2 linked regions of the Drosophila melanogaster genome follow. Changing the gene in region 1 together with any one later gene gives a genetic interaction. Each region holds a gene or a part of one and is shown on either strand. Other genes may lie near its edges. The genes, in order: Usp12-46 and Ppt1.

Region 1 (4,991 bases):
GTGCAGGAGAGGATTAGGGCTCCAACTAAAAAGCATATCCTTGGCTGGGTCATAATTAAAATTTAAAGAGAATTTACATATTTCTTCCAAATATATTTTAAACTTTGAGTCTTAAAACAAATGGCTTTCGATTGTTATAAAGATTGTATAAATGCTATATATATAAATAGGAAAATATTCGAGTTGTTCTCTAAATCTTGGACATCAAAAATGCATGGAATGCGGACAGAGAGATTCACGCTGCTCTAAGCAACTTAATACAAAATGAGAAATGCTTAAACACAATAACATTTCATTTCGCTACAGCTCATCCTTTTTAGGCCCTATGTAAATAAGTTGATCCTCCGGCTTAACCTCGTATTGCAGCAGCTTCACATATCGCTTGAGCAGCTTGCGCCAATAGCACTTGATGTCCTTCATGCGCAAATGCTCCCAGATGAAGTCGTATCCACGCTGAGCGATCTCCTGGGCCAGCGCATCGTTTTTCTTGAAAAAGGACAAGATGTGCTCGTACTCCTGCTGACTGGGGTAGCTCTTGAGCGGCACATAGTGCACCCAGGGCTTTAGTTGGTCGTAGAAGAACTCCTGCCACTCGTCGCCCACATGGAAGACCAGCGACTTGCAGAGGAACAAGTGCTTCAGACGAAAACTGGCGGCCACACCGCGGAAATTGAACAAGTACTTGTACTTGCAGTGGTCCTCGAAGGACACCTCATCAGCAGCCGGTGCGTCCAGTGTATCCTTAGGCGACTTCCAGCCCTGATTTTTGGTGTATTGAGCCTCGACTAGCTCCGGATTGCGGCGCGAGAGCAGAATAAGAGAATCACGTTCGTCCGAGGTGCGTGAACCGCGAAAGAAGCCCAGACTGCGTTTCTGTGACCAGGGTATAGCTGCCGCTCGCTTCTCCAGCTTCTCGCGCATCTGATCCCAGCGTCCAATGCCACGAGGATGGAGCTTGGTGGCCGGTCCTCCGGCCCAGAATGTCCACGCTGGATACATGATGTCGCGGTACTCCTTTGTCTTGGAGAAGGAGAAGACGGGACCACCAGCCGCGTTACCCCACGCCGCATTCAGCTGCGGATAGTCCCTGGTATTGATGATCAAGTCCATGTCGGGCAGCGTAGCCACCAGCGGCAGCAGGAAGTGTTCAATGCCCTCACAGCGGGCTGGGAACATGCAGTTGGCATCCCGGTACAGGCGATGTCCGTAGATCTTGTATTTGGTGCCGTAACGCGCTGAACTCTCGATCATCTGCCGGGTGACACCTGTTGACTTGTAGGGCGCGAGATCCCGTTTCAGAACATTTGCGTGGCAGGAGCAGTCGCTGTCCTGGGGATCACTGCTGCACGGCTTGTAGTCGGCATTGGCTTTTTCGATCTGGCGACGTATCTTGAAGCTAACTAAATTAATTGATTAATTAATTAATCGAAGCCGGCAACAAGTTGCTTACATTCATCCTCGTTTATTTGGTCGGGTTCACTTTGTGCACAGGATTTTTGATCGGCACTGCAAAGTCCGTCATCTTCTGCACCTCCTGTTCCTACCAAACTAATTAATAATACGACTATTAAATGATTTATTAGCATTTCTTTGGATGTAAACAAATTTGTTGGCCTTTGATTGCGGCGTCAGCAATAGGGTTGCCAAGTCAACTGAAACTATCGATATTCCAGAAATGTTTTTAAGGACATAGTTTTTAAAGTAAAATGAATGTCTACAATTGATGTAGAAAATAAAAGACTTTCTGCCATTTAGCTGCAAATAACTTAAGAGGAGAAGTAGTTGTGTTTTTAATAACTTTTTGTTACCTGGCAGCCCAGGCAGCAAAGCAGTGATTGAACTGTTACTTTCTTAGGCAGACCATGTCACTGCATTTGCAGGCAAAGCCCTGCAGTAGTAACCATTATTTTGTATGACCATCCATGTGATGGTCACCCTATGCGAGTAACTGTTCGCCGAGTTTTACTTTTGACGCGGTGTGCACACACTGGCCGATCCAACCATTATAAGAAAACCAACAAGAAACGTCGAAAGTTTTCTCCGTGTTAAAGCCAGCCAATAGCCAAATTACAAACGAAAACGACGATTTGCAATTTGCAAATTATGCGTGCGGCACCTAGTGCAATCGAAACCACGTAAACCCAACGAACGCGAGTGTTTTAGACCACCTGCAACCTGAAACAACCACCATTGTACATAATTTACACGAACAATTTTGCAACGACAACAACAAAGGACGCCGCGCTGAAAGAGAGAAGTTGACATAACTGCAAAAAGTAAATTGTATTTAACAGTGGTGGGCAACTAAATAAAGCCCGGATTGTAATATTGGCAACGAAAAATCGTAGTGGGAGTGGCCCAATTGCGAAAACGATGTTGTTTTGTTGAGACAATTGCCAAAAAGCCACCAAAAGTTCAACTAAAAAAGGTAATACATATGTATTTTTATTTATTTGCAAGTGTATCTGCATCTGTATGTGTGCGCGCGCGTGAGTGTGTGTGTGGGCGTACTACGAATAACAGTTAATTGAGCACTCATCGATTTTTTAGCCCCTTTATTGTGGCTCCTAAAAAAGGCAACTTAAATTCATTTCACCTCACGATCCGATCGCCAGATAAAATACAAAAAATAGAAAAAAAATGGAAGAAAAAACTGTTGGAAAAGTTGCCAGCCATCGTCATTAAGTTGATTTGCTACCGCCGCCGATGCTGCGATTTAATTTACCTGGCATTTGGTTTGCTTTCGAGAGCTCCAGTTTCCCATTCCGCCGCATTCCACCTGGGCTTTTCGTTTCTCGACTTTGATTTTCGTTTCCCATCCAGCGGCCGATTTTCCTGCTCGCCGACAAAAAAAAATCGTATCGCTTTCGTTTTCACATTGGACGGCGCGATATACTGGCTTTTTGTTTTTGGTCCGCGACCTAGGGTCGCATTGCCCCGCCCCTCCCGCACCAGCCCGACCGTCCATCAAAGCACCTGACTAATTAGTGTTGAGTTATTAACTTGATAATTATCGCTAGCCACGAGCGAGGTGCACTACTGGAGTTCTGCAGTGCAGGCCTACTTCCGTAACTCTAAACATCTCTTTCATTTTCCTAAGATATATGTATGTATAAACCATTTTAATGGCTTACTTTAAATCTTATTGTACAACATGGATTAGAGTATGTTAGGAGTAATCTCCAACTTATTTAATGTACTCATTTCGTTGTAATAATGTAGTATGATATCTTAATCAGATTCAACATTGTTGTTGATGAAAGTTAGCGGAAGTTGAATTGTATCTGTGCCTTGCAGTGACTAAGAACTAACTTGGCTATCTTTGAGGTCTTTTCGTTAAACTCGTTTGGAACACCATATCGAAATACTGAAAACGTTAAATACAAAAAAAAAAAAAAAAGAAACAAACACAGTAATTCGAGCTTGGCGCTGACTAAAGCTTCGCTTTGTTTATGGAAATATATGTGGTCATAATCAAGCTTTTGGAACCGAAGTCACACGTAAATCTTTTCTGCGCATTCAGACGTATCGATGCGATTGGGAGCCCCTCGACTAGCGTTTCCAATCAATGGTTCTTGGGAGAAAAACTTCGAATCATTTGCATTTTCAGTGGCGTGGCGACCCTCGCCTTCTAATGACTCGATTGATTTCCATTTTGGGCAACCTTTCTCGTTTGTGTAATGCCGGAAGTCGTTTGTCGTAACTTCTTGTATTGATTATAGATAATAATCGAAGAATGCTTTCCGTAGAACGTCTGCCAAATGGTCGTTGGCCAGCTAAAACAGCTGCCATTAGCCGCAGTCACGCTGTCTGGCTTGGGTCATACATCATTTATGTACTCCACTCCTTTGGGCAGGCAAATGACTGAACCCCCGCCCACCACCGATAACCACCCATTTCCACCAACTCCCACTCCGAAGTTCACGTGAAATGTGGCATGCCTAACCCAACCAGATGATTCATCATAACGTGGCATAGGCAGTTTATGCAGATTCCCTACCTTCCTTCCCTGCCAGCCAAGTGGCTGTAACACATTTTCATTTATGCTCCGCTCTCGCACACAATTTCTCCACCCTCTCGCATTTTTCCGTAATTTCCTGACTGATGAGTGAGCCTGCGCATTGGAAAATCGCTTTTCCAGAGCGGTAACTCGCCTGCCGAGTGGTGTGTTGAATTTCTGTTAGCTTCAGGGCTGGGTTGCTATTTTGACATGCTCTTCGGAACTTCTGGATTCATTATTATAGTTTTATTTTTAATGAGATTTTAAGAGCTTATCAATTTTACTACAATTTCCACATATATTGCCCTCTAAGACACGCTTTTGTTTAGAAATTGTTGCCGTCTTGTTAATTCAATTCCACACACTTTCTTCTGCCGCAGACTGAGACTGAAAATATATCCATTTCGCTGCGCATCGCATGTCCAGCTGTGTCAGCTTCTTTCGAATTCTTTGATGTTTCGAAATTGCCTGTCCGTAGATAATTCAGTGCGATTATATTGCGTGCCTGCTGACTGACCGCTCGTACATCATTAGCTCATCGGTGGGGTTTTGTTAGCTAATGGCCATATACTGCAACTGCATTAATAACATAATGTTTGTGTCATTAACCTGCGAACGGAACGAGTTTCCTGCTCGCGCAGCTGGAAAATCGCTTGCCTTTCGGCGGTGGCGGCTCTAATCTGCATAGAATGCGGATCGTCTTGGAAATGTCAGCTTCTCCCCCTCGCAAGAAAACCAGTTAACCAACTAATAGTGGGCCAAATTGCGATTGGTAGTATTTCAGTAGGCTATTCGAACGCATGCGTGACCGCGTTCGACAGTTGGTTTTGTTTACATTTTGGGTTATTGATCGGCTGGCGCACGATTTGATTCTCCGTGCGCTTATCATCAGCACGCACACCATGGTGATACTACACATATATGTAGCTAATGCGGCGGATCTGGTCATGGGCTCTGTGTCATGGAGAAGCATTCGGCTGGCTATCAGCAC
Region 2 (4,054 bases), on another chromosome or scaffold:
ACTTTATTTAATCAATTACATCTGTTTAGCAATAAAAAAAAGATATATGAAACCCAGTATCAAGTTCTTTCTCTGTTTAGATATATATTTATATATACATTAGTATATACATTTCTATTATATTTTAATATTCAAATATTACAAGTAGGAATATTTTTTTTTTTAATCCAATAGATAAGATCACTTTTTAGGTTTTTTATTGGATTTTTTCTTACAAGCAACTGTGGAAGTATTTTGAAATTGACTCAAATCGGCAGAAAAGAGAATCTGAAATAATGATATTATAAGAAACACACAGACTAAATTGCAACTTTCAGTGTACTTACAGCTTGAGCCCAACCGGCATACTTTCCGTGTAGCTTTTGAAAATGTTTCGAGACCTCTTCGTAAATCTTCTTGGTTACGTTCTTTTGGCCGGTTAGATGTGGCAGGTAGTAATTTTGGGCAATTCTGTAAATATGAATGTCGACGGGCACTGACTCCAAGTGACCCATTGACATAAGGCAGATGCAATCGGCCACTTTGTATCCGATTCCGGGTAGCAGTGTCAGCTCCTCGCGAGCTTTTTCGAACGGCATGCTCTTTAGGCTTATGAACCAGTTTTGTCCCCCCTTTTTCTGGATCTCTTGCAGCGTTTGTGCTATGAACTTGGCCCGATAACCGAACTTGGCAGCCCTTAGCTGGGCATTAAGATCCTCGCATGGGATGTCGTGGAATCTATTTATCGTGGGAAATGTATACGCATCGGCACCATTGAAGTGACCAATCTTGGTGCCAAATGTAGCGCAAAACCATTCAATCATAGATGATATGCTAAGAAGAAACCAATTTACTGTATTTAATGATGGGATTCGCATTTGATTGAACCACCTACCGCTTGATGTTATTGTTCTGACTGCAAAGGAAGCTAAAAATGTTTTCGAACGGCTCCTGAGAAAGGAGGCGCACAGGCTTACTCAAGAACTTCACAAAGTTATCATCTTTGCTTAACCAATCTTTTTGGTTGACCTTTAGGTCGAAATCAACACGTAGGTAGTCAGATATCAAGGAAGAATAGTCCTTCGTGGCCAAAGGACTGCTGGTTCCGTATGCCTCGTAAGTTATGAAGGATTCTTCTTGCTGGAGCACCCAGTAGGTGTTGAACACCACTCCGCCATATTTCGTTCTATTACCATCGCATATGGATCGCCATCTGGCATGTAAAGTTGTTTTGAGTACATATGTTCATTATTAGTATGGATAGCGCTTACCGGAAACTCTGTCCTCCAAGCAAAGTTCTTTCCAAATCGCATTCTTCGAGGGATAAGCCTATGACACCCCGATCCTGTAAAACAGCCTTCATGTTTGAAAAAAGGCGCTTTTTATGGAAACCTAGGTTATGAGCCAGCATCCGGTTTTATAAACAACTTAAGCCGTGTTTTGGCATACTTAACAATAGTACTTTGTCACGTTTAAATAGTAAACCACATTAAAACTCGAGTTTAAATCGAAAGAAACAAACTCGCTGAATAAAATGTGTTATTGCTATCAGCTGTTTAGCATTTGTTTACCGTTCGGGGTATTCACAACATTCTACTTTTGCTTAGACGCCAGTGTTGGAAAATGTAAATTTTCTGTTCACAGCTGCACAATAAAGTACCAATAAATGCAGCAATGTAGACGAGGGCTTCGAAAAATGCACCTAATTGAACAGTTATATAGTCAAGCCTGTTGCCTTGAAAGGAAAAATAGTTGCAGTATTTTTCATGTTGCGTTAAAGCACGCAGTACGAAATTACCTTTAGGTATAAATAAGACCAGGTACATCCCGTACATGAAATATCCCGATTATATTATCGAACCATATATTATCGATAGCAGACGACTAATTTGATTTGCAAAAATTGCACTCCAACAACAATGATTTCTATCTGCTGTTCTCGTTTTTCATGCATTTTATTTTTGCTGTTCCTGATCTTTTCCCTCGTGCTGAGCTACATATGGTGGAGCCCGACGAAAGGAGGAACCAATCCGGAGGTCCTGCCGGTCGTTCTGTGGCACGGAATGGGCGACACCTGCTGCGTACCCTTCAGCCTGGGTGCCATTATGAACCTGATCGTGGAGCAAACAAAGGGCGGCTATGTGCGATCCCTGCAGATCGGCGGCAATGTTTTGATAGACTGGCAGAGCGGCTTCTTCATACATCCCAACGAACAGGTGGATTACGTTTGCAAGCAACTACTGCAGGATGAGCACCTGGCCAAGGGATACCACGCCATCGGATTCTCGCAAGGCGGCCAGTTTCTGCGTGCGGTTGCCGAACGTTGCCCGAATCCGCCAATGAGGAACCTTATCACACTCGGTGGGCAGCACCAGGGCATCTTCGGACTGCCCATGTGCCCCACCTTAACCGAAAAGCCCTGTGATTATATCACGAGGCTACTGGACAACGCCGCCTACGCACCGTGAGTCTATCTGTTGTTAAGGAATCCTAATATAATATAATTCCTGGAATTTACATGCTTATTAATCCAACACCACCATGTCGCCATCCTTGTCGTTTCCGTGTTAATTCTCTCTTCTCTCTTGCATACCATACACCCAGTGAAGTGCAGAAGGCATTGGTTCAGGCCACCTACTGGCACGACCCGATCATGGAGAACAAATACCGCCTGGGCAGCACATTTCTCGCGGACATTAACAACGAGCTCTTCATCAACAAGTTCTACATTGAGAATCTGCAAAAGCTTAAGAAGTAAGCGCGTATTATACTTATACATTTATCAAATATTATTAACCTCTGCTTTGCAGATTTGTGATGGTGCAGTTCCTAAACGACACAATTGTCCAGCCGAAGGAGTCCCAGTGGTTTCAATACTACACCACTGGGCAGAACAAAGTCATCCAGCCCTTTACTGAGAGCAAAGTCTATCAGGATGTACGTATGCATATCTATCACCTAACGTTCTAATATGAAATGTACATTTTTTCCTAAAGCTGGGACTGGACAAGATGCATCGACAAGGACAACTTGTCTTTCTCGGCGTCGAAGGTGATCACTTGGCCATATCCAAGGCCTGGTTTATCCAGAACATAGTGCCTCTCTTACTCGAAAAATAAGATGGTGCCCAAAAAGCACGTATTGTGACAAAAATGTTTGCATAGGTTTAATCCATTCTTCCTATTAACATAAGCATTTTAATATTAATAATGACTTTTTGATACTTTTATACATGTTTAATTAGATGTTTAATAAATTCAGTTTGGACATACAAAATGTGTTGATTTACTGTTCTTATTTTCCTCTTTTTCTCGCTTTCACTGTTTATCTTAATAACTTAAACGTTAGGATTACGTCTCTTGTAGATGTCTTAAGTAGTTGTGCCCGATATTTCTCTGAAATATTCAATGCAAGGCAACCGCGTGCTCCGACTAAAATTCCATACACGTATCCGTATCGTAAATACTCCGTATATATATATATATATATATATATATATATATGTATGTATGTATATGTATGTTTTGTTAGGTATATAACGCTATGTACATGAGGCAAATAACAAAAGCAGCTTACAGACAACCATAGACAGATAAATGTTTACACATAGCTATAGTTTAGATAGGCGATTGGGCGGAGAAAATTGCGCGAAAGGTTGGAAAAAGGAAAGTCAGCGGGAGCGGGAATTGTAGAATTGTATCCAAGTCATATGGCAAGCACATTATAACTTGGACTTTGGATTGGTGTTGCGCGCAAAGAAGATTTCCGGATCCTTGTGCGGACGCTGGATCTCGCGATAATTGTTGACTATCTTTTTGGACTCATCTTTGGGACACGATTGCAAATTGCGAAACACCTGAACCTGCAAATCAAAAGAGGTTTCTCAAATTTAGTGTTCCAAATGAAAGTATTTGGGGGATCATCTTGGTGAGAAAAACACGCACCTGGCCGCGAGACACATAGATGGGGGTGCGGTATATGATCCAGGTGACACTCTCAAAGTACGGCGCCGTTGTCAGCGAACCCTTGTACGTGTAATAATGTTTGCTCAGCTCCTGCAGACCAATCCATGATA

What was found.
Region 2: of Usp12-46 (region 1) and Ppt1, changing one suppresses a phenotype caused by changing the other (phenotypic suppression), as found in Drosophila melanogaster (one study listed by BioGRID).

The regions. Positions count from the first base shown.
Region 1 is NT_033777.3:22,748,939-22,753,929, forward strand, and holds the start of Usp12-46 (Ubiquitin-specific protease 12/46), read left to right. Parts: upstream 1-1,962; 5' UTR 1,963-2,428; intron 2,429-4,991. Other genes in the region: CG31139 (uncharacterized protein), read right to left, coding at 1-53; rumi, read right to left, coding at 301-1,400, 1,451-1,586. UniProt on the Drosophila melanogaster protein: Catalytic component of the Usp12-46 deubiquitylase complex.
Region 2 is NC_004354.4:8,687,824-8,691,877, reverse strand, and holds Ppt1 (Palmitoyl-protein thioesterase 1), read left to right. Parts: upstream 1-1,650; 5' UTR 1,651-1,799; intron 1,800-1,831; exon of another isoform or gene 1,832-1,859; 5' UTR 1,860-1,898; coding exon 1,899-2,443; intron 2,444-2,583; coding exon 2,584-2,733; intron 2,734-2,789; coding exon 2,790-2,916; intron 2,917-2,975; coding exon 2,976-3,098; 3' UTR 3,099-3,251; downstream 3,252-4,054. Other genes in the region: Ogg1 (8-oxoguanine DNA glycosylase), read right to left, coding at 181-267, 327-813, 875-1,192, 1,251-1,390; CAH3 (carbonic anhydrase 3), read right to left, coding at 3,701-3,841, 3,924-4,054. UniProt on the Drosophila melanogaster protein: Cleaves thioester-linked long fatty acyl groups such as palmitate from modified cysteine residues in proteins or peptides.